Notamacropus eugenii: one gene and its partners. The protein of the gene in region 1 interacts with the protein of each later gene in a biochemical or structural test. Links are inferred from orthologs where the notes say so. Each region holds a gene or a part of one and is shown in the gene's direction. Other genes may lie near its edges. The genes, in order: JUP, cadherin-1-like, CTNNA1 and DSG1.

Region 1 (7,537 bases):
CACTGATCTCTCCAGCCTGGGGTAGAGTCATCTGTGCTGATTACAGAGAGCATAGGATGGAAGTGGTTATTGATTTACAATGGAGTCCCTGGAGGAAGCAGAAAAAGGCAGGAAAAGTCTCCATAGCCTCCCTTCCCCCCAACTCTGGCTTTTCTTCAAAGAGCAAATTTTTTCAGAGGTCTCAACTAAGTCACCTCACTGCAATGACAACAGCAGCCTGAATTGATTTTAGGCTTTATCGTTTGCAAAGTAATCTTCTCACAACAATACTATGAGCTGGTATTATTAGCGTTTATTGTGACCAAGTATAATTAGCTCTGTTTTACACATAAGGAAACTGAGGCTGTGCATTACCATAATCATGGGGCTCATCTGTAGCAGAGCCTGAACCCAGAATTTTGGCTTCAAGTCTAAAACTCTTTCCACTTTTCTGCACAGACGCTTAGATCTCATATCAGCACTGAAATAATTTTCCACACCTTAGCTTGAATCTTGTAGTCAGAATCATGAGCAGGCTATTCTGACATGGGGGAGTGTCAAGACCACTGGGAGAGAAAGAGGCCCGAGTTCTAATCCTTGTTCCATGTCTGATGAGCTTAAATAGATCCCATCTTGTCGGTAGACCATTTTTCCTGTACTTTATATTTCTTTGTATCCCCAGCACTTAGCATAGTACCTAGGAGGTGATTAATAAGTGTCTGCTGACTGACTGTAAAATGAAGAGAATTAGCTGATGCTGTGATTCTTCCTTGAGAGTCTCTGGAAGCCCCTGACTTTGGGGTTGGAGGATAGGGGTGGAATGCTGAATCTCCTCCCCACTTGGAACATCAATGTATATATGGAGGGATGTGGGGAGGCAAGCAAATGGATGTCAACTGGTAGTATGGGTGCATGTTAGGACAGGCCTCTTCCCTTGCCTTGCCCAGCTCTGGGTTCTGGTGGGAAGGTGGGGCAGGTGGGATGGGTGGGGCAACTGCTGTGTCAGCTAGAAGAGTCAGAGAAGAAGCAAGTTTAAGAAGCTTGTGTTGTCTCCTCCAGCTCCCCGCTACATTTCCCTTCCCCCTCCCACTATGAGAACCACCTAGGTGTGTCAAAGGATTTCCAGAAACTTCGGGGGGGGGGGGGGGGGGGGAGATCCTAGGATAACAAAGCTTTACATATTGAAGCAGCCTTGGGGGAGAGAAATTTGGTCCTGAACTCCTGAGTGAGTTTTCCCCAACAAGAGACTTCTGGGGATTTTGTGTTAAAAATATAACGAGAACAGCTCAGGCTACCTGGGATGTGTGTTGAGCACAAACATTCTCTGGGATTTCATAACCGTATTCATGAACCTTCCAGATCCATCCCCTCCCCTGAGCCTGTATCTTCCTTTTCTCCCTCCCTTCCCCCTTCCTTCTTTGTCTCTGTTTCTGTGTCTTTCTGCTTTCCCTCTGACATTCCATTTCCACCTACATTTTTCACAGTGAAGTGTTTCTGGAGCCACATCAGTAATTAAGTACCCTCCCCAGTATGGGTCAGACACACCTCACCTACAGTGTCAAGCCACTGGGCAGTGAGACCTAGAGCTTCTCTCACACCTCCCCCCATCCACCCCATCTCTTCAGGCTACTGAGCACAAATCTCTTCTGGCTCTAAACAAGAGGGCTTGGTTGCTTAGGAAATCATCTCTCCCCACTTCTGCATCATATATCCCCCTTCCTAGCCCATAATGGTATCTCTGCTGAGGTATAAACCCTTACAGAAGCTTCAGGTTTCTCTCACTTACCCCTTATTCTGGTATCTTTCACCATGACCATCTGGGAAGTCCTTAGTTATCTAACCCTGTTTCTTGTGATAGACATTTACTATGTGGTTAATCAGGAACTAGCCTGATTCAACAATCCAAGGTCAGGGGTCACCAGACTAATCTCCCCTGGATACTTTTTTATTCTGACCACTCTTTAAGCCTGACCTGAGTTAGAGGGAAATGAAGTGTGTGTGTGTGTGTGTGTGTGTGCGTGCGTGCGTGCGTGTATGTGAATATACATATGCCTGTCTGTGAGTATCTTTCCTTGAGTCTGTGTATGGTATAGAGCTTCATGTCTATCCATATGTTTCCCAGTGTGGGTCTTGACTATTGATTTCTGTGCAGATGGGAATGTGAGTATAACTGTGTATGGGTCTCTATGCCTATGAATGTACAAGGTATGTGTGTATTTAAGTGTGGGTGGGTGGAGTGGAGAGGGGGTTCAAATAGCAAGAGAAAGCTTCAGCACCTTATATGGCCAGAGGCCTCAAATGAAGAGGAGGGGAAGGGGGAAGATAAGAATGAGAAGGGGAGCCTATTCCTTTTCTGGTATAATGGCTGCTAGTCAGGAGATCTCCCTCTCTTACTTCCACAGAAGCTCACTGTCTCCAGACAGTACCTCTACCTGCTCCCCTTCCCCCATACTACTTCCAGTCACTCTTTGGGCACCTCCATTTTCCAGTTACTTTTGTCCCCTGGGGGGCTGACTCCTTTTTATGAGTTAGAGTGAGATGGGAAACCCTTTCCCCCACTAAAAGTTGTAGCCCTAGAAAGCTGAAGTGAGCAGGGGAAGTGAATCCATCCTTTGAAGGCTAATGTCTCAGCAGCCACAGAAGTCTGGACAAGAGGAAATGGATTTAAACCACAGCGAGTGAATTTAGGTTCAAAACAAAACAAAACAAAGCAAAAACTTTCCACATGTTACTAGCACAATTGCACTTTTTCCGAAAGGACTTTGAGAATTTTTTTTCCTCAGAAGGAAAATTCCCTGACTGCTTGGTTTAGAAGCACAGAAATGGATGGCTTGACTGTCTCATCTTTCCCAAGCTCAGTTTGTGTCAAGAGAGAAAGAGAAAAAAAATGTCACTCTTGAAAATCGTTTAACTTCACCATGTTGACAGAAAAATAATCATGATCTCCAAGCTTCTAACAACAACACAAAACAATAAAAGAAATGTGACTTGGGGGATGTAGGAGAGGGGCAAGGTTTCTATAGGAGGAATAGGGAAAAGAGGTCCCTCTTAGTCCAGCTTCTGGGTCTTCTCTTGGCAATCTTTGCTTCTATTTCCATCCATAGTAACACCCTATACTTTTTAGTAAGGAACTGACAAGCTGGGACATGATGTTGGGTGAGACACCCTTGATTTATTGTTGGGGAGAAAGGCACACAATACTGTGTTCTATTCACTCCATTCAGAGATGTTATGTTTTTCTCTCTTGTTCCTGATACCTTTCACCTTCCCCTGCTCCCCACTCTCTGACCAAGTCTGTCCAGTCCTCTCCTTCTTATTGGGTGGGTCATATGAAACAGAGGTAGCCCAAGTAGGAGTGTGGGTGAAAACCAGGACACAGAGTGGGTGTTGGCCTTCAGGAAGGGAAACCCAAGCAACAATGGGGAAAAAAGCCCTTGTCCCCAACCAGAAAAAGTTTATAATTTGGCTGAAGTGCAGAGAGACTGGGTGGGTGAAAGCAATGTAGAGATGAAAATACCCAGAGAGGGAGCCACACAGGCTGAGGGGGAGGGTCCAGGACAGCAGGGCAAAGAGCATTTGGAAGGCTGAAGTGCTTGGCACTGTTGCAAAATCTTTCCTGCCTTCACCCACCTATTATCTCCTCCAGGAAGGGGGTAGGATGTTTGGTTATCAGCTGTTGGGCTGGGTTGGAAGGGACCACTGTGCCTGACATAGGATGCTGAACCCATTGTGAGCCCTTCTAAAAACATCCATTCAATAAATGGCCAGAAAAGAAAAGGCCATGTTTTACTCTCCGGGATCTTAGGATCACCGTGGCGTTCTCTCTCTCTCTCTCTCTCTCTCTCTCTCTCTCTCTCTCTCTCTCTCTCTCTCTCGCCTGCTGCCTGGTTTTCTTTAGCTTCGTAGACTTGTTTCTTCAAAGTCTTCTTTCCACCTTCACCCCATAGGTGGCTTTTCTTGGACTGTTGAGTTTGCATTCAAATCCTCTTTTCACTCAGTCCGAGGTCTTTGCCACCTGATGCTTACTTTTTTGGCCGCGGTGAATAATCCCCTTAAGGGAATTATTTCTTGATGCTGAGTTGGTTAGGCGTCTACACAGACGCGCTGCTTTCCTTCCCTACAGCCTCTCCCCTGACTCACCTGGTAGGACAGGTATGGGGGGAAAGGTGGGAGTAGGTTCTACCTGGTGGAGAGCGTGGGTGGGGCAAGACACACCCCAACCACTCCATTGGTTTCTCCCCGAGGCTTACTGACAGCACCTCACCCATTCACGAGGCAGTATTCCTTCTCTATCCAATAGACGCGGAATTGGGATCGGACCTCGGGCTGGGGTCTGGCCCTAGAGCCGACTGGCAGGGCACGAGGCCAATGGAGAGGCGGTAAACATAGGCAGTCGGGGCGGGGCGGATTCGCAGCTGGGCCCCGCCCCCCAGGGAGACGGGCAGGCCTCGGGACCAGTGACAACGCGGCAGCGGGTGGGCGTCGCCCCGGGGGCGGGGCTCCGAAGGGGAGCCCGAGGCGTGGCTTGGCTGTCAGGTCTCTTCGCCTTTTGTTCGTTTAGGGAGTTGCAGCCGCGGCCAGAGTCCGTAGCAGCCACCGCCCGAGCGGAGCAGATCCTCCGATCCAAACCCAGCCCAGCCCTAGTCCTGCCCGCTGCCCCGAGCCCAAGCCCCAGCCCGGACCCTGGCTACGAGCTCAGGTGAGGGACGCGTGTGGCTGGGACTGGGGCTGGGGGCGACCGTGACTCCGCGCGCGCTCGGGTGCGTGGGGTGGGGGCACCTTGAGGGGCGGGTCCGTGCAGGTGACATTTAGAGGAGGAGAGGAAGGGGGCGCCAATGGGAGGGGGGTTGAGGGAGCTTTGCCCGACTGGGCGGTGGGAGCAAGCGCCTACTTAGAGGGAGTGGAGAGGACGGTCGCTTTTGGAGCATTTGAGGTCTGGGATTGGTGGGTGAGTGGGTAGGGGACAGAAAGGCAATCGGGGTCGCGAGATTTTGCTTGGGGCGGGGGTGTGTGGTGGGTCAGGCTGGCCACTCCGAAGGGGGAGTGGGTTAGTGGAGGACTGAACTGGGTGGGGCTGGAAATGTGGAGCAAGAGATTGAGAGGAGGGTGAGTTTGGAGAGGGTGGATCTCTGTGGTCCTTTTTAAGGAGGGGTGGTGGGCAGCGGGGGCTTGGGAAGGGCTTTGGCTTCGTCCTGGAAAAGTCTGCTGGAGGGAGTGGGAATTGAAGGAGGGGTACGGTGGAGGGGAGGGTCAGGTACGGATACAGCACTGACCTCCCTGGCAGTGGCCTTAGTGGACTGGGATTGAGGGGGAGACTTTGACCTCATTTCGCGTGGTGAGTACATAGAGCATTTTCTCTCCCTCTGTCCAGCTGGGAATTTATAGTTAAGGAAACTTGCAGCTGGGCTGCACTCCCCGTCACCCCCTCAGTCTGCCTCCCCACCAAGCGTCATTCCTGCCCTCCTCTTCCACCCCCACCTCCCCAGGCCTGGGTGGGGCCCTATTGTCTGGGTCCAGTTTTCCGAGCTGTGGGGTCAGTATTCTTGCATTGGAGGCGGGATCTCCCCATTCCTGGTTTGCTGAGCAGGTGAATTTGGTGTTAGGCATAAATTTGGCACTGGGCATTAAACGGATCCCGGGTCCCAGGGAGTTAACATCAAAGTCCTAGATTTTCTTCTCTCTAATATGTGTTCAGGTTGCCGGGAGAAGAGGGTAGCTTATCTTGTTTTAGGGTATCTGACTTATTGTTGAGACTTGGAGAGGGCTTCAGAGAGGAGATGGTTTAATGAAAGGTCAGAAAGCTGCGGGATGGGGAATGGGGACCAGGAGAGCAGGAAGTTACTGCTAGTGTGTTCTTGCTGTGCTGTCATCTGACATGTATAGCTTAGAGACTCTGAGGACCATTTAGAGAACACCTGGTTCAAATACCTCATTTCACAGACTCTTATAACTAGTTATGGAAGGTTTATATGGGCCTCTGTTTGCCTTAGTTTCCTTAAATGTATATTGGGAATAGCACTTGCCTCGAATGGTTGTGAGGAATAAATGAAATATTTGCCAAGTGCCTAGCACAATGGTTGGCACACAGTAGGTGCTATATACATGTTTATTCCAACCCTCACCTGTCTTGCCCTTTGTCCTTTTTTTCCTTCCCTCCTGACCTTCGTCCCATCTTTTGGAAAGTTCATCTAGCAAGAAACTTTCTTGCTGTTCAGTCCTGTCTGACTCTTTCATGATCCCATTTGGGGTTTTCTTGGCAAAGATACTGCAGTGATTTGTCATTTAATTGTCCAGCTCATTTTACAAATTAGGAATATGAGGCAAACAAGATTAAGTGACTTGCCCAGGGTCACACAGCTAGTAAATGTCAGAGACTGAATTTGGGCTCAGCCTTTTGAGTCCAGATCCAGGGCTTCATCCATTGTGCCACCTAGCTTGCCCAATAAACTTTCTAGGGGGAATCACAGAGTCATAGATCTAGAGCCAAAGGACCTTCTGGGCCATGAAGTTCAGCTCCCTCCTCCTCAAGACCATCTTAACTCTGGACAGACCTCAGAATAGAGAGCTCAGAGTTGATCCTTTCTGATCTTATCCTTTCTCCTCCCCACTTCCATTCTGTTTACTAATCCCGTGGAGATAGAGGGAGCCCACTTGCACTTTTTTTCCATATCTAGGGGCGCCCCTGGTACCCCTCACCTCTCTTTCTTCCCTATTTCAGGCAAAGCCTTTGTAACCTTCTCCTGCAGCCACTACCCTCAGCCCAGAGTAGGAGATTGAGCTAGGAAAAAAATCCATGTGGGAGATGCCAATTATCTTATATTCTTACCCTGCCTTTTACCCTTTCTCATTCCCTGGTTTAATTATCTACCTCTTAATTGAGGAGGAAGCTAGCAGCAAGCAATAGGACTTGATTTCCACTTGATTACCAAATTATGAAGTTTGCTGAGGCGTGACTACTGCAGATCAGGTTGGGATCCGGGTCTTTTGAGGTACTCCTTGAACAAATCATAGGGTCAGAGGATTTTTACAGCTGGAAGGGCTTTCATCTAGCGTGGGTAGGGTTGGGTAGTCTGGTCCACGCTGGAGAAATGGTTGAAAGTTTCATGACTCCTTGGGTCTTGACCAAGAAATATAGCTCACATTTATATATTGTTTTCAGGTTGACAAAGCACTCTTCTCAATATGACCCTGCCAAGCAGGTAATGAGTGCCAATACTATTATCCCCATTTTAGAGATGAGAAAATGGAGGCTGGGACACGTAAAAGTGGCTGGCCCAGGGTCACATAGCTAGAAGGCAGTTCTGGAGGAGGAGAAAGAGGGTTGGATTTGGGTGTGCCTGAGTCTGAATCCCAGCTCTGCTGCCTATTATATACTTGGTTCACTGTTTGGCAGATCGTTTCAATTCCCCTAGTCTCAGTTTCCTCACCTAGGAAAAAAAAAGAGGATTTTGGACTAGAAGATTTCTAAGATACCTTCTAACCCTAAATACTCATAATCCTTTGTCAGAGATGAGATTTGGACTGAGGTCTTCTGACTACATATATCAGCACTTGTCTA
Region 2 (7,284 bases), on another chromosome or scaffold:
AAAGGAATTAGAACTAGAAGGCTTTCGAGGAGGAGCAAAGGAAAGAATTGATGGCTTAGTGAGTAGACATCATATAAAGTACATATTTTTATATAACTGGAAAAAAATAAACTGACCAGTTAGCCTCTGGGGGGAAAAGTTTCTCTCATCATTTCCATTATCCTGTTTAATGCAGGAGCCTTGGCGAGAAAGGAAATGTACTGTATCTTCTTTCCACTGATCTATCCTGGTGGTAGCTACTGCTAAAATGTATAAACCCAAATGACCTCAGCACATGATCTGAAATCCATTAATAAGGAGGGAATGGGGTTTGGAGGAACGGGAGAGCTGGTAAACAATTTTAACTCGGTTTGCAGTCAGCTTTTTTCTTTATAAGTTCTTAAATAAAAAAAGAAATTCACATAGGAAGGCTTTTCTCCCCTAGAGATTTTGTAGAAAGCACACAATTTATTTCTTAATTAAATATAATTTTATTGCATTTTGGTCCATAAAAGATGTACTTAATGTTTTTGCTTTTCTATATTTATTTGTGAGGTTCATATGCCTTAATATAGGATCAGTTTTTTGTGAAGGTACCATGCAGAACGGAGAAAAAAAGTTGCTATTACTTTTTGATTGTCTCCAGAGGTCTTTTCTAAAACTCTACTCAGCCCCTTCATTTTTTTTCCTTTCTTTTTTTTGGTTAGATTTATATAGGTTTAAGCAGAATAAACTGAGGTCTTCGCTATTATACTCTTACTGCTTATTTCTCCCAACAATTCATTTAATTTTCCTTTAAGAATTTGGATATTGTGATACTTGAGGCATATATTTAGTGTTGATATTAATTCATTGTCTATTCTATCTTCTAGCAAAATGTAGTTTCCCTGTCTATCTTTCTAAATTACATTTATTTTTGTTGTTACCTCAAAGTCCTACATAGATGTCAGTTATTCCTGTCATAGAACTATCCCTGGTTAATCACATTTCCCCTTTTCTCATTTTGTGGCTTGTTCCTTAAATAATGAGATTAGCCCCTCTTGGGACAGCTTCATTCCCAGGATTCTGGGAGCTGGAGGTGACCATGGAAATCCAGCTCCCTCTTTTTACAAATGAGGAAATGGAAGCCTTAAGAAGGAGTGACTCACTAAAGATCCTAGAGCCAAAGCAAGACAGGAAACCAAGTTCCCTTTCTATTTTGCCATGTTTTGTGGAACACACATGTTAAAGGGAAACAACGTGCTCTGGCCAATGGTCCATCAGCCCTTGTAGTCTTTGTTATCGTTCAATTGTATCTGACTCTCTGTGACCCCATTTGAGGTTTTCTTGGCAGAGATACTAGAATGGTTTGCTATTTCCTTCTCCAGCTCATTTTACAGATGAGGAAACTGAGGTAAACAGGGTTAAATGACTTGCTCAGGGTCATACAGCTAGTAAGTGTCTGAGGTCAGATTTGAACTCATGAAAAGAATTCTTTCCTGACTTCAAAACCAGTCCTCTATCCACTATACTATCCACTACCCTTAGCCTCCAGGATAAATATCTCCAGGATAAACAGAAACTTGTTTTGTTTTTTAAAGCTCTCCCTACCTTACCCCAATTCTATCTTTTCAGCCTCAATGAATGTTTCTCCTCTTGCCATACTCTGTGATCCAATCAAACTGGCTTTTCCCTAACATACTTGGTATCTTTCCACTGACCTGCCTACCCCCATGCTTGGAACGCTCTTCTCTTCATTTCCAACTCATAGAAGTTCAAGCATCATCTTCTATGTGAAACCTTTTCTGACCCACTCTCCCTATCCTATAGTGCCCTTCCCCTCAAAATCCCTGTATAGGATGTCCCAAAAGTCTCAGTGCAACTTTAAAGCTTTAATAAAGCTTATGTGTATAGATATATGCATATATAATATAGATATATATATAAATAAAATAAATGCAAAATAGTTAAATACAGGGTATTCCAAAAATCTCAGTGCAGTTTTAAGTTTAAGCTGAAACTGTCTTTATATCCAGATATATAATATGTATGTGTATATTCATACATATACCTATCTACCCATCCATTTACTATCTAGCTATCTATCTATCCATTTATCTACTTGTCATCTCCTATATAACTTAAGTTTTTGATTCATTATATTTTTATTTCTAGCCCCTACTTCAATGCCTGGTGCACAGTAGGTGCTTAATAAATGCCTGTTGATTGAGGGCTTGGCATTCTGGACATTATTTTAGGTGTTTGCCCCATATTTAACTTCCTCTATTTGTTCCTGTTTCCTCTTTCAAGGCTTCAATCCCAAAGGAGCAACCTGAAAATGCAAGCATGCCATTGGAAGGTAATTGTAAAATAAAGTGGTAGCTGATAAAAGTATTGAAATGAGAATATCTTTTATGATTACCCTGTGTGAAGTCTACACTACACAGACCCACAAGTAAAATATGCCACATCTTCTAAGTGCAATTGATAAGAATGGCATTGCTTTGGTGTAGGAAAATACCTTGAATTTTGTTTTAAAGTAAAAGTAAAATATGAATTACTGACAAGAAAACTGACCTTACTTCTGACATCTGCCCAAATGGAGTGTCCAGGACAAATCTAGGGGAGGAGGTTGGAACACTGGGAAGGCAGCTGGAGCTGTCCCTTCCAACTCTGAATTTGTGACATGATTCACACTTGAGTATAAATTACCTGATATCAAGTTCCTTCCAGGTTTAGAAGATGGTCTTAGGATTCATTACTGGAAGTGGGCTTAATAATCTTCTAGGTCAGTGATTCCCAGTTTATGATGGATGACAAATAGCAAGGGTTTTTTCAAGGGATAGGGAAATCTATATTCTCCCACCCCTATGGACATTTTAATTTTTATTTAACACCAATCTCTCCAGTTCTTCTCCTAACTCTGAGAACTTTCTTGACCATGTTCCAAGTCTTCTTAGCTTGGGAAGTCACCATGCTCAAAAGCATCCTTCTTACTGTGGAAGGTGGCTGTACCCTGATGCCATCTCACCCTGGGAGATGCCCTGTACTTTGCTGCCTTCTCAACTTGGGAGATTCCTTCTTCTCCCTTCTTCTCTTTGGTTAGTTTCTCCTGAAACCTTTATTTTAAGGAAGAATTCAGGTCAGCCATAATGCTCTTTCATTCCTCTGACATGACTGATTCTTCACATCTTTCTCCATGGTTCCTTCTCAATAGGCTCCTTCTTTCTTTTCCCCTCCCAACAGCTTTTAGCTTTCTTTTAGGTGAGTCTTTCTTCCTTTAAAAAGTAAGCTCCTTGAGGGCAGACTTTCTTTTTTGCTTCTATTTGCATTCCCTTGTTGTAGTCCCAGGACCTTAGCTCTCAATCTTTTTCCAGCTCTTACGGAAGTGCACAGTACATAATAAATGTGTAATAGTGGTTGGCTAGACTCCAAATAATGCACTTGACTAGTATGTCATCTGCCTAGCAATCATTGTCATTTGGATTTTTTATGTAAGTCCAACTAATAATATGCAACTTTTTGGAATTATGTAAACTTTGTTGCAAAGGTTTTGAATACATTTATATTTTACTAGTAACTTTTAAGTTGTTATGAACGCTTAGAAAGTTTTTTGTTTAATAGTACAACTACAGTCACCGCTGCTCTGGAAATGTTTTTGTACTTAAAAAGAATCCTCACATGCAGAAAAGTTGAAGACCATCCCCAGGCAAGAAGCAAGAAAGTTGGGGAGGGGGGAAGGAAGGGGTCTGGGAATTAGTGATACGTTCTGACCCTTTAACCTTTTTCCAGGGACGCTGAAGCGAGGATTCCTACTTCAGGAGGGGTTGGATTGTGCGGACCATTTTCACCTGTGGGAATCTACCACACTATAAAAGATGATCAAAAGACATTTCCCAAAAGGTTCAGATGCCTATGAGTTACTTCATAAGGAGATTCCCCGACTCAGAGCCCTCACCGCGTATTGGAATCTTCCCACCCCCACTCCCAGTTTTTACCAGACAATATGGGACTTAGGGAGAAGACATTCTCAGTGAATCTTGCAATGAGATTCTCTCCTACTCGCAGCCGCTCTCCCACCGATGCCACTCTTTAGAATGTGTACCGCTCGGTGTCCGGCTGTGGACTGTCCGGGCTCTCCAAGATGCAGACGACCACAAGCAGCGGTGAAAGATCGGAAGTTCAACTTCTGACTTAGACATGAGAAGTCACCGCTCCGAGGGCTAGAAAAGGGAGTGATCAGTTGCCCGGGGTGGGTAGACAGCCTGAGAACTTCAGGGCAGGGAAGGGAAAGAGAGCTGCCTGGGCTGGGCTAGGCCATCCAGACTGTCTCATTGGCTCCTCCCGGCGCAGGTGTGCGTGCGCGCCAATCAGCAGCTCCGCGGGGCGGGTCCCTCGGGGCTCACCTGGCTGGCCGCTGGCTTGGAGCCGCAGTATTGGCCCCTGGAAGTGACTGGAAAACCTTTGGTCCACCTGCGCCTCCGACGAGCTGCGCCGCTCGGGCCCCAGCCCCTGCCGCGTTCCTGCCCCAGCTGCGGCCGCACCCCCGGCGCCCCCATCATGGGCACTAGGCGGAATTGGTGTCTCAGCCTCACCTCTCTCCTGCTGCTGCTGCTGCAGGTAAAGCCCCGGAGCAAGAGGGGGATGGGGCACTTTCCGGGTGGATGAAAGAAAGATGTGGGGAGACGCTGATCCTTGCCCTGGAGAGAACTTCGGCTGCCCCCGGCCTCTCACAGCCCAGAGGAGCCCTCCTTACACCCATCCCTTCCTCTGATTCCTCCCTTCACTTCCCCTAAGCTTCCCTCGCCTCCTGTGCTCCTTTCCTACCCCACCCCCCCACCATGGGTGACCGAACTTACTCCAGCACTCGGGACTCTCCTCGGGAACTGGTTTGCTTTCGAGGGGTATTCTAGCCCACGAGCTGGCGCACTGCCCCGCGAGGGGGCAAGTGGGGAAACGCACGGCTTAGGGGATCCTAGCGCCGATCCGGCACCTCCCTCGGTCGCCACCCTTCTCCTTTTCTCTGGGGTCTGTGCGTGTGTGTATGTGTGTGGGGGGGGGCTTGGTACATTGTACCCAAAGTTTTAGGAGAGAAATCTGAGCTGGCCCTGAAGTCACACTGTAAGTGGTGGATCTGGGCAGGGGGGAGAGATGAGCCTGGGGAGAGCTGGTGTATGGGGGGGGCGGATCTCTAGTGTGTTTAGGGTTAATGGGATCTGTGACTGAAAGGGGCATTTCTCGGGGTGGGAATCTCCTGTAAAAGTGAGAGTTGGGGAGCGTGTGAGTTTGGAGGAGGGCAGATGGATAGAGGGGAGGGTGACCCAGGGATTCTGGCTGGATGGGATCGGGTTGCGAGGGAGGGGAAATGTCGCTTTGATTTGGGAAGTTTGACCCGTCTGGGCTGGACACAGCTGACTCTGGTCCGCTTCTCGCCCCTCAGCAAAACTCTCCGAGTCCCCTGGGAGCAGCCGGCTGTACGGATTTCTGGTGGGGAGGGAGCGGCTAAGGCCCGGGACCAGGCCGTCTTCACCCCCAACCCCCACTGGGGCGAGGCTGGCAGGTTTCGGTGCGGGGGAGGAAGGCAACCCCCTCCAGCTCCCAGTCACCCCAAACCTCCCCTTTTCCCCCCTTAGGCGTCGTTATGGCGTTGCGAGGACACGGGGCTTTGCCGTCCGGGCTTTGCCTCCGAAAGTTACACCTTCGAGGTGTCCCGGCCACACCTGGAGCGAGGCCGAATCTTGGGCCAAGGTAAGCGGCCTGTGGGGGAGGGGAACGGCTGCTGTTCCTGCTGTTCCGGTGCCCAGCCCCAGGGGGTGGGTGGGGAATCGATGACCTAGGAAAGTGATCAGCCCTTGGATTGAGGGCGGGAGCGGGGAAAGTTCGCGCTCGGGTTTTGATGAAGTTAACCTTTATGTTGGGTTTTCTGTGTGTAGGAATCCCTTTTCCCTTTGGAAATTATCCCCGCCTCAACAAATACTTACTGAACTTGCCAACGTCTCTACTTTTCTTTTTGTCTCATTATCTTGTACGAGACCTAAAGTCTTAAATTATTTAAGAGCGTCCCCTCATCCCCCATCTTTGCAAAGTATTGAATTTTTCTTCTTAGGGATAAAAATGGAACTGATAATATTCCTATAGGTATTGATTTTAAAAAAAAACAGCCCTGATAACTGACTCAGGAAAAGCATGTGATTGAGTTGGTCATTTCTTGGCCTTATCACAGTGCCATCATAATTACGTTTGAGTTTCTTCCTGGCTGGCCAAGTGAGGAGGAAGTTTGGAATATTATTCACTGTGTAAATGAGTGAAATATGGTATCTTCCAGTTTCAGTGTGAGAGCTGCTGTTTCACTTTAGTTTTTCCTATTGACTTTTTTTTTAAATGAGGATTTGTGATTTTTATCGAAGTTGAAATTTCTCCCCAACCTCCACCCCTTTCTGAGCAATTCTACTGTAACTTAATTTTAAACAGTTGCCTGAAGGCTGGCCCTTGGTCACCCTGAAATTATGTGCTTAGGTGGTCTTCTTGATTCCCAAGATCAGCCCTAAAGTGCTGGATTTGAAGTCTAAAATTTGAGGTCATCTCTTACCTTAGACATTCATTTTTTGTCCTTGCTTTCAGTCGGTTGAAATATAAGTGGAGAGGCCAAATAAGCACATGTGAAATAATTAGGAAACAAATATCATTTTTTAAATTTTTAAAAAATTAATTTGTTTTCAGTTTTCAACAATCACTTCCATAAGTCTTAAATTTTTCTCCCCCTCTCCCCTTTCTCTCTCCCCTTCCTCCCTCCCTCCCTGAGAGAGCATGCAATCTTATATGGGTTCTACACATACATTCTTAAACATTTTCACATTAGTCATATTGCATAGAAGAATTAAAATGAATGAGAGAAATCATGAGAAAAACCAAACCAAAACATAACACAAGAGAAAATAGCCTGCTTCATTCTGCATTTCAGTTCCATAGTTCTTTGGATATGAATGGCATTTTTGCCTCAACAGTCCTTTGGGAATGTTTTAGGTCCTTGCATTTCTGTGAAGGGCTAAGTCTATCAGAAACAGTCCTTCCACACTTTGGCTGTTACTGTATATAGTGTTCTCCTGGTTCTGCTTATTTCACTCAGTATCAGTTCATATAAGTCTTTCCAGGCTTTTTAGAAGTCCTGTTCATCATTTCTTATAGCACAATAGTGTTCCATTACATTCATATACCACAACTTGTTCAGTCATTCCCCAATTGATGGACATTCCTTCAATTTCCAGTTCTTGGCCACCACAAAGAACTGCTATAAATATTTTTGTACATGTGAGACCTTTTCCCTTT
Region 3 (7,228 bases), on another chromosome or scaffold:
GAACACAGCATCACGGTCAATTGTCATTCTTTTATTTGAAAAGACTACAAGCCAAGACCAAAGTGGAGGGAGTGTTGGTGCATGATTTTCTGTTTGCAGATGATTGTGTACTCAATGCAGCCTCTGAAGCTGAGATGCAACAAAGTATGGATCAATTCTCTGCTGCCTGTGTTAATTCTGGCCTAATAATTAACACCAAGAAAACACAGATGCTTCAGCAGCCACCACCACACCATCCGTATGTGGAACCATCAGTTACAACAAATGGAGAAGTTCTGAATGCTGTGGATAATCTCACTTGCCTTGGTACTATACTTTCCAGGGATGTACACATTGACAATGAGGTTGATGTATGCATTGCCAGAGCTAGCTCAGTATTTGAGAGTCTCCAAAGAAAAGTTTGGGAGAGAAGAGGCATTAGACTGACTACCAAACTGAAGGTTTACAGAGCTGTTGTGCTGACCTCATTGTTATATGCTTGTGAAACATGGACAGTCTACTAGTGCCATGCAAGGAAACTGAATTGCTTCCATTTGAACTGTCTTAGGAAGATTCTGAGGATCACCTGGCAGGATAGGGTCTAGACACTGAAGTCCTTGCTCAAACTGAACTGACAAACATTCAAACTATGCTTCAGAGAGTGCAATTCCGATGGGCTGGCCACATTGTTCAAATGCAAAATATACGCTTGCCAAAAAGACTATTTTATGGAGAACTCATATGGGACAGGCAATCACATGGTGGTCAGATGAAGCAATACAAGGACACTCTCAAGTTCTCTTTCAAGAACTTTGGATTTGACTTTGCAACATGGAAGACACTGGCACAGAACCGTTCAGCATGCCATGCCCACATCAGAAAGGATGCTGTGCTCTTTGAGCAAAGCAGAATTGAGACAGCACAAAGTAAACATAGGATGTGCAGATTTGGAGTATCCACCCTAAATATTCACATGGACTATCTGTGCCCAACCTGTGGTGAGCATTCTGAGCTCATATTGGTCTGATCAGCCACAATCAGACACACTGAAATTTCACTTTATCATGGTGATGTCATTTTGGTCCTCTGTGAAGAGGAAGGACAACAACTAACCAGAGAGGGAAGCACCAACACCTGAGTTTTCAAAGCCAGGGGGCTGCTTGGTGGCTTCCCAGAGTCTCTCATCTGGCACACAAACCTTCTTCCAAAAATTAAGCCCCAAAGTAAAACCTCACCCTCAGAGTATTTATACACCTTTCAGAGTCACAGGGCATGATCCTCTGACCCAGTGCCTCAATAGAAAAAACAAAAGGTACTTGGGACCCTCCTACAAAACAAGTCTTTTAATCAAGATTCCCTCAATGGGCAGGCCCATCAATATGAGGGCTTAAGATCTTTAATCACATTATTCAATCAGAGTAAAAGAAAAACAGCAAAAGATTCTACTTTGCTTGGCCTTACATACATTTATGGAAAGAATAATGGACTTGGATCCTGGAGAGAACTAGAATCAAATCCTTCCTCCAAAAATTACTCACTATAGGCGAGTCATTGGATTCCTCTGAGTCTCAGTTTCCTCATGTGTAAGGGGAAGTGAATGATACTAGTAGTTCCTACCTTATAGGGTTGTTTTAAAGATCTAATTTGATAATGTTTGTTTGTAAGGTGCTGTCCTGGGCCTTATCCTCTTCTCTCTTACTATTTCACTTGGTCCCATTAGTTTTCATGGTTTCAGTGATCATTTCTGTGCTGATGATTCTCAGATTTACTTGTCTAGCTCTTACCTCCTCAGAACTTCAGACCAATTTCTCCAACTGCCTTGCAAATATCTCAACATGGATTTCCCACAGACATCTTAAACTCAAATGTCCAAAACTGAAACCAAATCTGAAAATTGTCTCCCTTTACCCTCACCCAAATCTCTTCCTATTTCCTTATTACTGTCCTGGATACCACCATCTTCACAGTCACCCAGGTTTGTGACCAAGGTATCATCAATTCCTCTCCCCCACCCTCCTCTAATGCAATCATTTGTTATATCTTGTCATTTCTATCTTTGCAATATCTCTCAAATATACCCACTTTTCTTGCCAGACACTATAACTGTTCAGGCCACTATGACTTCACACCTGGCAGTAGCCAGCTGGTTGGTCTCCCAGACTGAAATCTCTTCCCTCTCTAATCCATCTTCCACTCAATTATCAAATTAATCTTCCAAAAATGCAGGTGTGACCACATCATAATCCCCTTCACCCCCTTTTCAATTCACACTAATGGCTCCCTATTACCTCCAGGATCAAAAATGAAATCCTATATTCGGCTTTCAAAGCTCTTCATAATCTGGTCCCCCTTTTGCCTTTTAGTCTTCTTATACCTCATCCCCTTCCGTTTACTGTGAGATCTAGTGGCACAAAACAACTCTGAAATCAGAGTTGTCACTGGCTGTCCTGGATGCCTGGGATTCTTTCCCTCCTTATCTCTACCTCCTAACTTCCTCCAAATCTCAGCTAAAATCTCACCTTCTGCAAAAAATCCTTTTCCAGTTCTTCTCAATCATTACGCCTTCCCTTGGAGATCACCCCCAATTTATCCTGCATATATCTTGTTGCATATAAATTTTGATATGTTGTTTCTCCCATTAGACTTACCTCTTTGAGAGCAGGGACTGCTTGTTTATTTTGCCTTTTTTTGTTTACCCAGTGCTTAGCATAGAGTCTTACACTTAGCAGGTATTTAATAAATGTTAGTTGATTGATTGATTTTCCCTGGGTTAGTGGAAAGAGTGCTAGATTTGGTGTAAAAAAAGGTTGTTTTTGTTCAGTCATGCCCAACTCTTCATGGGCCCATTTGGGGTTTTCTTGGCAAAGGTACTGGAGTAGTTTGCTGTTTCCTTCTCCAGCACATTTCACAGATGAGGAACTGAGGTAAACAGGGTTAAGTGACTTGACCAAGGTCACATAGCTTGTAAGTATCTGAGTTCAAATATGAACTCAGATCTTCCTGACAAACTTGAATCCATTGGGCCACGTAGCTGTAATAAATTTGTTTGGCTATTCCTGAACTGATAGGCAACTACTTTGTTTCCAGTTCTTTGCTGCCATAAATATGTTGGTGCATGTAGAGAGGTTTAACTTTAACTCTTAGGTCAATTTCCTTCTTCTGAGAACATTTATTCAGAGTTGTAGTGCATCATTACATAATGAGGTACCTTGCATTCAAGTGGTGGATCAAATACAGAAAGGACAGGACTCCCACTTACAAGCCCCTTCATACTTAACCTCCTAATGTTAGGGCATGGAGTAGGTTAAGCTCTCCTCTCACAAAACCTAAATTGGGAAGACTTTATGCAAAATACCAAGGGAAATACAGTTTTCTTCAAAGGAATCTTTTGATATCACTTGGTAGTAGACACACCAAACTCTCAACGAATCTAAACGATGATCCTGCCCAACCATCGGTTATGTCGGCATTTTTGCAGGCTAGTACCAATTTTGCTGGTTATTCTGAAATGCAGGAGGTAGAATTTATCATTTAGTACTTAACGTTTAAGATTTGCTATCAGTTTTAGGGTGTATCAAGATTGGCCGCTCCCTGCCCTGCCCCATGTTGCGAGGGACGCTTTTTTTTCTTAATTTAGAGGGCAAAATAAAAGTGAGCTCTTACCTCAAAACTCAGTATGACTTTTCTGAAGGATTAATTCTGGGAACAGGACAAGCCTCAGGGGTCCCGTGGAGACATGCCTCCCATGCCTGGAACAGGCTAGGCGCTTAATAAACCTGAATTGAATTGAATTGGGATAGCCTAGCTCACTTACAGCAAAGGAAAGATATCTGAGATCCAGCTCAGTACCTGGCACAGAGCTCCTAAGTCTCAGGCTGAGGGGCGGAGCCTGCCTAAAAACCCCACCCTGAGACTCACCTGAGCCCCGGAGCCAGATGACTCACCTGCCCTGCCCCCATCCCCCTCTCTGAGCTCTTCCAGGGATTTTCTTCTCCTCCCCTTTCCCCTTTAATCTCTTCCTTACGCCTTCCCCACTCCAGGGGACTTTTCCATCCTGGGACAGCGGTTCAGGGCTTGGGGAGTTTGTCTCAGAGCAATACCCCACCCAGTCGCCCCCCTCTCCTCGAGAAATGTGTACAGTTCTCTTACTTGCAGGGAAAAGTCAGGGAGAGGGCGCGCGGCGGGAATGGCCGGAGCGGCCGCGGGGGAGGAGCCGGGAAGAGCGGCGAGGCGGAGCGGCCGCGGAGGGCGGTGCCGGGAAGAGCCTGGAGCGGGGCGGGGGGCCGGTGAGGGGCCGAGGGGCGGAGGCGCGGGCCACGGCCCATTTCCTCCTCGGGAGTCGGGACGGGAGACAAAGCGGCGGCGGCGGCGGCGGCGCTCGGCGTAGGGGCCTTTGGGATCCTCCTCTTCTTCCTCCTGCGCTCGCACCCCTCTCACCGCAGGTAACTCCCGGCGCTCCCTGGGCTCCGGGCCTGGGGCCCTCCGACGGACCCCGCCATTAGCTCCGGGGCGCCCCGCCCCGGCCTGCGCCCCTCCCGCGGCTCCCCCTGAACTTTGCGAGATTCGCGGGGCGGCGCCCCTCCCGGGCCGGGGAGTGCGGGGGCCTTATCGGCGGGGCGCCCCTGCCCCGCCACGCCCCGGGGAGGGGAGCGAGGCCCGGGGAGGTGGGGGCGCGGGGAGCGGGGCCCGGGCCGGGGTCAGCCCAGGTGGGCACTTTGGTGGGCAAGTGTGGGGCACTCCCTTCCAGGGCTGCGGGCGGGCTCCGCGGCGCCTCCCCCGCTCGGGCCAAGTTTCTCGAGGTTCCCGAACTAACTTTGTTAAGTTGTCGGGCGCGCCGAACCCTCCTTAACCCCGGCTCTGCCCGCACCCCAACCTCCCCCCGGCGGTGGCGGAGGTGGGGGGGCGCGGGGCGCTGGTGCGGGCGTCCAGCCCAGTCACTTCCCTTTGGAATAATTCGCATTTTATCCCCTGGGCGGGGCGGTGGTCCGCTTGCCTTGATTGGATTACTTTCCGAATAGTTTGATTGTTTGGGTTTTTCCAGTGGTTTCTCTTTCCTTTCTCCTTCCCACACCCGGAAATCTCTGGAATCTCGGTGGCGGAACCCAGATTCCACTTCCCTGGGCCATTTCACCAGGGAAAGTGATTCATTAAAAAAAGACTTCTGGCTCTCCGAAACTCGAGAACCTGATCCATTCGTGTTGGTTTTTAATTACGTAGCTTTGTAAATAAAATGGACTCTTAACTTGGATTGTCAAAGTACTCCCAACTTTTTATGCTAATGAATAGGACAGCATTTAACTCTTAACAATTTTAGTCTTGGTGCGGAAGGCAACCAATGGATAATTAATAATTTTGTAGTTAGATAACTAAAGTTTGCTTGTAATCTTTCAGGCAAAAATGAGTTTCCTGCTTAAGCTAAATGGGGACATAAACCGTGTTGTAACTTTTTTCCCACATTGGATTGTAGCTAAATAACATGAGTTGGAAACTTTGGTAGAAATGATCACATCCTTAGAGCTCCTTGATAGGGAAGCAGTTTTGATGGGGGTGGGGGAGAGGAATAGGGATTTCATTTTTCTTTTTATTAAAAGTACTGATTTAAAAACCTACCCATGCAGGTTTGCCTCACTTTAAGAAAATTAAAAATTATATAAATGTAAGTTATTCAAATAGTAAATATTGAGCACCTGTTACGTGCCGGTAATAATAATAACACTTGTTTATTGCTTTAGGGTTTCTAAAGTGCTTTTTTCACAATCCTGTGAATTTTTCCCATTTTGCGGATGAGAAAAGAGGAAAAGTTACCTTCTTGTGTCTGAGTCCCAGTGAAAGCCTAGGTCATCCATCTCAAAGTCCAGTGTGCCATCCACCATGCCGTGCTGTCCAGCACTAGACTACATGCTATTGGGGATGTAAAAGAAATATAAAATGTCATCTTTACCCTTGGAGACAGTCTGGTTATTGCCTCTGACCTAGTCTAAAACAAACTTGATCAAATCACTTACTGTTCAAAAACTTTGAATGTCTATTCATTCACTACAAAATGAAGGAAAAATCCTCCAGGCTGGCACTAGAGTTCTCCATAATAGGACATACTCCTTGCTTTTAAACCTTTTCTTTTTATGATCCACTTGTACCATTCATGTGGAGTCCTTGTCATTCACTGTTGTGAGGTGTGGTGTATTTGAAAGATTTTGGGTTCAAGTTCTGACTCTCCTTAGCCTTATAATGTCAAGTTCCTTTGTCTTGGTGTGAGACTCACTTTTCTCGACTTTAAAATGGGAATAATGAAGACCTGATTTACCTGGTTATTCTGCGGAAGATTTTTAGTAAACCTTAAAGCTCATTATCAAAGTGTGAACTACACCCTTTGTACCTTTTTTGCTTTTGATACAGCCATTCTCTCTATGTAGAATGCCCTTTTTTTCCCCTTTCTGCCTGATGAAATTCTGCCTATCTTTCAAGATCCAACTCAATTGTTGACATTTACATGAAGTCTTCTTACTTGAATTGGAAGCAGTCCCTGAAGTGCCAGGGTACTTTACTACTCATGACATTTTTTAAAAATAATTGTGTACTTGTCTTACCTCCCTCCCATATGTAAACTCCTTGAGGGTAAGGACTGTTCATATCAGTCTTTGTCTCAGCCACATCACTTTGCCACATAGGCATTCTATCAGTTTTTTTAATGAAAAAAATATAAAGTCTGTAACAGATAAGGATGTTTTTGCTCCTGCTGCTGTCACTGACTGGACATGTGATGGGTTTGTTTATTATCTGATGGATAGTTTTTTTAGAAATTGTTTATGTTAAATATGAAAACTAATTTTCATGAACTTTACAAACACTGCTAGTAAGAAAGTGTCTGAGGCTAGATTTGAATTGGGGACTTGCTGACTCCTAGTTCAGTGCTCTCACCAGCTGCTTAGGTGTTTTGTGGACATTTTTTTCCTTGTTTGGCATCACTATCCCTTCCTATTCTTCCTTAGAACAAATAGGACTAGTTTAGCAGAAACAGATCTGTATTTGCGTTGGTTGTTCCTAAACGAAAACTTTGGGACTCAGATTGGGAGTCTGAACACTGTGTTTTATTTTATAAGGTTATACAATCAATTAAAATATATCTGTTCATACTTTTATTTTTAGGTGTGATGAATAAGTTCCAGTTTGTTCCTCTTAGAACTGTTTCAGACTTTGGACCATAGAGAATGCTTGCTAGGATATATTTTGGTTCTCAGGCTGTATTCAT
Region 4 (7,085 bases), on another chromosome or scaffold:
ATTTTCCCCTTCTATTCAATGTTTTATGGATTACTAAGTGAATAAAATAACTGCTGTACATTCCCCTTCCATAGGTTATCTGAAATAATCCTCAGTACAATTTCAACAGCAGGAGGACCATGAGGTTGGTACAATTCTCTTCCTATTCCTCATTATTTTTCTCTTTGACCCACTCCCTACACTTGGAAAACTTTTTGTTCCAGGGAACTTCAAGATTATGGACAATTAAGATAGCAACAATTATGAAAACCATTGTTTTTACGTATTTACAAATCACCTTCATGTCTGGCAAACCGTGGTAAGTTTGGTACATGAAAACTGTCTGTTCCCAGTACAGTTCTCCAGGATTTTGGAAGCATCCTCATGGCTGTGGCATAGGGACTTGTTATCTATTGGCCCATGAAAGAGAGCAAGCTTCTGATGTATGATGGAAGTCACCAGGTCATGACTTGCTATGTATTTAGCACAACCTAAATTTTTTCAGGCTGTAGCGATATATTATACTGTTCTTTATAATAATCATTATTTTATTACTCAAGAATTGTGTTCCATAATGTGCAAATGGCTAGGCCTACCATGACATATTAACAAGATGAAATAGTATATAATTATTAAATGACAATTATGTGGATTATGTCAAAGTTAAACACAATTTATGCATCCATACTACATGTATGCATTATATATACATAAAAAAATGTATGTCACAGTCTATAGAATAGGAAGGAACTTTTCCTATCATAATAGTATGACATAGACCAACAACTTCATTTGAAAGGTAGGGTAATTGAGGGACAGATAATATAAGTGAGTCATCCAAAGTTACATGAGTAATAAATCCAAGTCTTTTGGGAGAAATATGTATAGCCTTCCTGGACCTTCATTCGAATCTGTCTTAACAGCTATCTCTGTGTGTAATTAGCAGGACCAATCTCAATGGTAAATAATTAGTAATAATACCTATAATAAATGTAAATTAAAGTTAGTAGTTCATTTTTAAGTTGATATTTACAATATTTTAAGATGCTGAGAGGATTGAAAAACATAGAAAATTGATATAAATTACAAGACTATTATTTCCTGAGAAATAGGAAAGTAATCAAGGTATCATAGGAGAATTCTGATTAATGTAGTATTCCCCATCAGTTTTCTGGGGAAACTCTGGACACAAAAAATCACTTTAAAGCAGGTACCATTTTTGAGAAATGAGAGTGGCTCTAGGTAGGGGTATGCTGGTAAATGTTTTAACAATAGGCTCCCCAAAAACATACAACATACTTTTAAATTTATTCTGCATTATTAACATTTTCTTCATCACTTTCTTAAATGTGGACAATCAATAAAACAATAAACCAAGCTCTGATTTGTAATATTCCCCAATTTTCATGATGCAAATACTTACATTGAAAATCATGTTGAGATTCCATGAAGCAAAGCAAACAGAGGCTTGGACACAACATGCACATGGAAGAAAAAATAACAACAGAAGATTCTGTAAGTAGGGGAAGGGCTCAGTTCAGGGGACTTTAGATTAGCTAGGCTCAGTGGGCAAATAGATTCCTATGAAGTGGAAACTGGTTATCAGAAGAAATAGAATAAAAAAGCATTTAGTATTTGCCAAGCACTATCTAATTGCTGAAGATAGAAAAAGAAAGGCAGTCTCTGCTCCCACACTATAACTGGAGGAGAAAGTATATAAAAGAAAGTCCACTTAAATCAATGGAAAGGCCAAGAAATCCTAAAGATGTTGCAAAGGGAAAGATGGCAAAACACAAAGGTCGTTAGGATATATAAGAAGGTCGGATGACAGAGTCAACGGTCTGGAGGACATAAAGGCAGGGCAGGTAGATGACAAGGCTTACTGGTCCTCCTTCTCACAGGAAACCATAGAGATGGTGATTCTCATCTCATCTAGTAATGTGAGTATTCAAGAAGACCACATTAGTTGTGGGTTTTCAAGGGGGAATGGGAAAAAGGGGAGAGATAGTAAAGGCATGGAAAAGAATGAAAGAATTAGTTTATTGATAAGGGGTAAGTGAGAAAAAGGAACTTTAAGGAAAAGGAGAATATAGACATGAGACATCAAAGGCAAGTTCTTAAGAATTGGGGAACAGTAGAAGCCTATGGTAAACCAGCACTCAATAATAAGGCAGATGCTGATGTGTACAGGTCAGATTGCAATAGAAAATGACATAAATATGGAAAGGTTATAGGAGAAGTGGTAAGAGATATCCTCACCCTTCCACCCTTTCCCTACTCTACCATCACTGTTCCTCAGGTAACTTGTCAAGGGAGTAGCTACGGGTGCTCCAGAACCATGGAATTCTCCCACATTTCCTTTTCTGAGTAGTGTCTAAGTGGCTGAGGGATGAACTGAGAGCCCCTTGTTGGGACAAGGCCCTCAACTGGGATGGAGTCATGAGGTATATTTGGGGCAACATCAGATAAGAGACTAGAACTATCTATGGGGAAAGAGGGATAAGATTATATGTTTATGCTCCAACTCAAGGTCCAATGGTATAAATCATACATACTCAACCAGTAGAATGGATAGGCCATTTCCTCTTGAATCCCTCTGCCATTTTTAGGTCATCCAATTCTACTACTAGCTATTGTTGTGAACACATCATGGAGCATCACTCTCTTTAACTCACTAATGATAAAATCTGGCCTGACCACCACAATTCATTATTTTTATTTGTATCAGCAAAAGCTTAGCAGGGCAACCAACTGCTCAATCCCAACTGATGTTTGACTAAGATCTGTCAAAGTAGAGGCAGCCTCCTCCTTCCCAGTTTGCAGAGATCCACAATGAGTAACTAGAGATCCATGTATGTCCTTATAAAGTTGAATGGCTATTCTTTTCTCATGCACACATAAAGAAAAGTCATCTTCCACACAACGGAGAACCAACATACTACCTTTGTGACATCTCTTATTCATTTCCTAATTGTCAACAATTAACATACTTCTCTCCAACACTAACACAGTGCCAAGCACCCCTTCTAATTGCCTCCCTCAAACCATTTCCTGGAGAAGAAAAGATATAAAAATGATTTCAAAGTTACCATTAAATACTACCCCATAAGAGCTATTACTTCTTTTCAAAAAACCAGGTACCTCATTCCATTTCCTGTCTTCACATGTGGGTGGCCAGGTCTCCAGCATATTTCCTTTGTTCTAATTGGCTGACTTCCTACAATCTTGGCTCAGGTTATGCTGTTTTTATCAACTATTTTTTAGCCTGGCTGACCTAAACCACAGTTTTCTCTTATGGTTCAATTGGGTGTATCTGGCTCTGGTCAATCTGTACTGAATATGTCATTAAACTTTTCCTTATTATCTATTTTTTTAAAATTCTAGGAAAGTCAAGTTCTAATTCTGGTTTTTATGTAAGTGTGCAGAGCAGGGACAGGAATAAAGAAAGAAAATTAAAAAACTGATTTGGAGGAGGGGAAGAAGAATTTTCCACAGAGAGGACTGAGCTTAAGCAGGACACTCAGGGACATACCTGTTGCCATCAAGAAGAGTCACGGTACAAACCAGAGAAAACTTTGTAAGTCAGATCATCACAATCATTTTGTTTCTCCAAATAAATGACAATATGATCTCTCAACTCTAATAAGACCTTCAAGTTATTTAACCATCAGCTTAGCAAATATATGGTTCCTCCAGCTTATACTTTCTCTAGATTCGCTCAAGTCAGATTTGGTCATTTCTTCCTGTGATCTGAAGCTTTGATTATCTAGTCACCAGAATGTCTACCTTGCCCATAACCTATATACAGACTACATTTCTCCCCGCATCCCCTAGGATAAGAAGATAAGGTCACTCTTATTACCCAGCACAGTGGTAAGGAACTTGTCCATTTTTATCCTTTTTTAGGTTTTGAATAATTTTAAATTATTTCACTTGAGAACCTCTAGAGAAAGACTCTGCCCCACAGAGAACTGCTTTCAAACTAGAAGGGCGTGTCCCATAGCTTTTACCTGGGAGCAATAATGATCTTGTCAGGCATTTCAGTGAGACCAGCCCAGGATTTTGGGGTGGGGATACTGACTGGTTATACGTACCTTCAGTCCTTCCTTCTCAGGAAGGCAGAAACATCTCAAAGCCTGCATGTAAGAACATCTACCAAGATCTTTTTTTTTTTTTTAATTAGGCACCAGAAGAGGGGGGGGTGGGAAGAAAAAGAAACAGAAGTCAAAAACGTAACTACCTGAGACCTGGATGTAAGAGCTATCAGAAGCAATGGACTGGTCCCTGTACAGAACCACTGCTGTTCTGTTCATTTTAGGGGTAAGTAGATCCATTTTATAAATCGATAAAATTTGTCTGTATAGCTAATGAGACCAGTTCAGGCTACAGCCTGGACTAACAGTTCATATTAATGACTGGGAAGACTTTTATAAGTCACATTTGCAATTTTTTTTTCTTTTAAGACTACCAATGCCTCACTCAGGGGCCAGTCTTTCATTTTGCACCTCAAAATAATAACATTCCAAAGACATGTTGGATTTTGAAAATTCTTAGCACTGCCTAACATGTTAAAAGGTTAAAATTTTGAATACTGGTGTAGGTGAACCTTTTCAATTATCAAAGCACTGACTCTCTCTCTCTCTCTCTCTCTCTCTCTCTCTCTCTCTCTCTCTCTCTCTCTCTCTCACTCTTCCCTCCCCACCCCTCAACAGCCGAGGGATAATACATTGCCAAATTTTAATCAATGAAATAAAACAAGACTAATTCATTCTGTAGCCATATGTAACTACTAACTTTTGTGAAATGAAGAGGGTGGATAAGATAAACTCAGTTGTAAATCTCAAGATTCTAATTTTCCTCCTGGAACCTCAGCATGATCAGGGTATAGTCTTGATACTTGCATAAATTTTCTTGAAAGCCCAAGTGTCTCCAGAAGGAAAAAGTGATTTTGTTATATTTGATGGTTTCAATAAAAATGACAGTACAGAAAATTTATAAGTGATGAGGCATGTAAAAAAAACTGTTATAATGAAAGGGTTATTGTATAATCATCACTATGGCTTTTCTCACTAGCGGAAGGTCAGTTTGGCATAGTGGAAAGCTGTTAGACTTGGGGTCAGGAGACCTTGGTTCTAAACCTTGCTCTGTTCAGACACCCCTGTCTCTGTGACTTTCGGAAAGACACAACCTGAGTTTGCTCACCTACCTATATAAAAATAATTATAGTAATAATAATATTACTACCAGTACTACCTACCTCATAGTGTCGTTGTGAGGAAAGCACTTTGGGAACTTTAGAGCTCTCTATAAATATGACCCAATGTTATTTTATCCTGCTTCCAACACCTGTGAGCCCTGGCACAAGTCTTGGCACTTTCCTGGGCCTCAGTCTCCCCCTTCATAAAATGAAGAGGTTGAATTAGAGCCTCTGAGGTCTTTTCCAATTGTAGATTTATGATCCTCTATTCCCAAAGCCTGACATTAAAAATTGTATCCAATGGTCAGAGTATCACTTAGGACAAAAAGGCTGAATTTTTTAAAGTATATTAGGATGTGATCTAAGTTGTAGAATCATAGAATTTGAGAATTAGAAGGGACCTCAATAACCATGTAATCTAAATGTTTTCATTTATTGAAAATCAGTTTTTCTTTTTTTTTTCAAAACTTAGGATAATGGAACAGTCCTTCAAAGTTGCAAGAGAACAATAATTTTCATGGGAAGTTTTGTTTTTTAATGAAAATTCCACACTAAAAAATAAACAATACATGGTTTATCCTTTACAGAGTATTAACAATAACTTCTTGGGAATTTTGTTCATAAAGTACATAGTATTATATATACTTATTTCATATTTTGAAAAATTCATCAAAAACACTAATGTCTTTCACAGAAAGTTTAAAGTAATCCCAAAAGGCAGGTGCCAGCTAAATTATCCTTGAACTTGGCAGGAGACGGTGTCTTGGTTCATATTTGTTTCTACTTGCTTAACTTAGGTCTGGAATGCTGGTTCTGTTTAATAACAAGTTAGGTCTTTGATTCAGTGAATGGTGGTTAGCTAAAATGGAGCTGATGGATTAAACTGAACTGAAACTTGAACAAATTTAATTATGAAAGAACTTCATGAGTTGGTAGTACGTCTACTTTAAATGGATATTGTTCTAAACATTAGTCCCATTTCATTACTCTCTCACAGAACTTTTGGATTTGTTCATGGGGAAGGGGAAGGGAAATCCCTCAATCCCTCAACATCCCTCAAATTATGACAGCATTGGGGCAGCTGGTGTTACAGTGGGTTGAGTCTGGAGTCAGGAAGATCTGAGTTCAAATCTGACCTCAGACACTTACTAGCTGTGTGACCCTAGGCAACCTCTGTTTGCCTTAGTTTCCTCAAATATAAAAACGGGTAATAATAGCACCTGCCTTTCAAGGTTGTTGTGAGGATCAAATGGAAGGATCAAAATTGTAAAAAGTGCTTAGCACAATACCTGGCACATAGTAGGCTTTATATAAATGCTTATTCTTTTCCCCTTAAAGTATGCCATAGGAATGGGAAAAAATATTGGTATCAGAAATTAGCATAAAATTGTTCCTTTTCAAATGACCACGGTTCCCCCTCCAGCTCCATGTATATTCAGTTCAGTCAGTTAATTCTTATCATGGATGCAGCAAATTAAAATTTATTTTCAGTCCTTTCCACAATGAACTTTATAACTCAACTGGTAGTTTATTTTTTATTTATGCAATTTTTCTACTCAGTTGTATAATATTTTCATTCTATATGATAAAATTTCTACTCCATAATAAAATCCCCCTGCTAATTTAGTAAATCCTTCAATTTCCCCTCCCTTCCCAAAAAATCAGTTTCCCAGAATCACATGCTCTCTGCATTATTCTTATATGGAAATAGACTTTCAGGGTGTTTGTTATGTCTCAGTGAATCTGACCAGTTTTTATCTTCCATTTATGTTCAACCCAATAAAAATCAATTAAGCAGGTTGTGTCTAGAAAACTATGACAGGTGCTCAGAGATATGCAATATTTAGATAAGGCTTGATCCCTACCCTCTTAGAGTTTATAACCATGTTCTTCTTGGCAATAATTACTT

What was found.
Region 2: the proteins of JUP (region 1) and cadherin-1-like form a complex in vitro, tested with the Homo sapiens proteins (2 studies listed by BioGRID). The link is inferred for Notamacropus eugenii from reciprocal best matches to the Homo sapiens genes JUP and CDH1.
Region 3: the proteins of JUP (region 1) and CTNNA1 form a complex in vitro, tested with the Homo sapiens proteins (2 studies listed by BioGRID). The link is inferred for Notamacropus eugenii from reciprocal best matches to the Homo sapiens genes JUP and CTNNA1.
Region 4: the proteins of JUP (region 1) and DSG1 form a complex in vitro, tested with the Homo sapiens proteins (2 studies listed by BioGRID and IntAct). The link is inferred for Notamacropus eugenii from reciprocal best matches to the Homo sapiens genes JUP and DSG1.

What each region holds. Positions count from the first base shown.
Region 1 is NC_092873.1:358,227,392-358,234,928, reverse strand, and holds the start of JUP (junction plakoglobin), read left to right. Parts: upstream 1-4,515; 5' UTR 4,516-4,678; intron 4,679-7,537. UniProt on the Homo sapiens protein: Common junctional plaque protein. The membrane-associated plaques are architectural elements in an important strategic position to influence the arrangement and function of both the cytoskeleton and the cells within the tissue.
Region 2 is NC_092872.1:708,186,277-708,193,560, forward strand, and holds the start of cadherin-1-like, read left to right. Parts: upstream 1-4,274; 5' UTR 4,275-4,518; coding exon 4,519-4,578; intron 4,579-5,591; coding exon 5,592-5,706; intron 5,707-7,284.
Region 3 is NC_092872.1:366,016,456-366,023,683, forward strand, and holds the start of CTNNA1 (catenin alpha-1), read left to right. Parts: upstream 1-4,222; 5' UTR 4,223-4,421; intron 4,422-7,228. UniProt on the Homo sapiens protein: Associates with the cytoplasmic domain of a variety of cadherins. The association of catenins to cadherins produces a complex which is linked to the actin filament network, and which seems to be of primary importance for cadherins cell-adhesion properties.
Region 4 is NC_092875.1:257,982,217-257,989,301, forward strand, and holds the start of DSG1 (desmoglein-1), read left to right. Parts: upstream 1-4,063; 5' UTR 4,064-4,251; coding exon 4,252-4,299; intron 4,300-7,085. UniProt on the Homo sapiens protein: Component of intercellular desmosome junctions. Involved in the interaction of plaque proteins and intermediate filaments mediating cell-cell adhesion.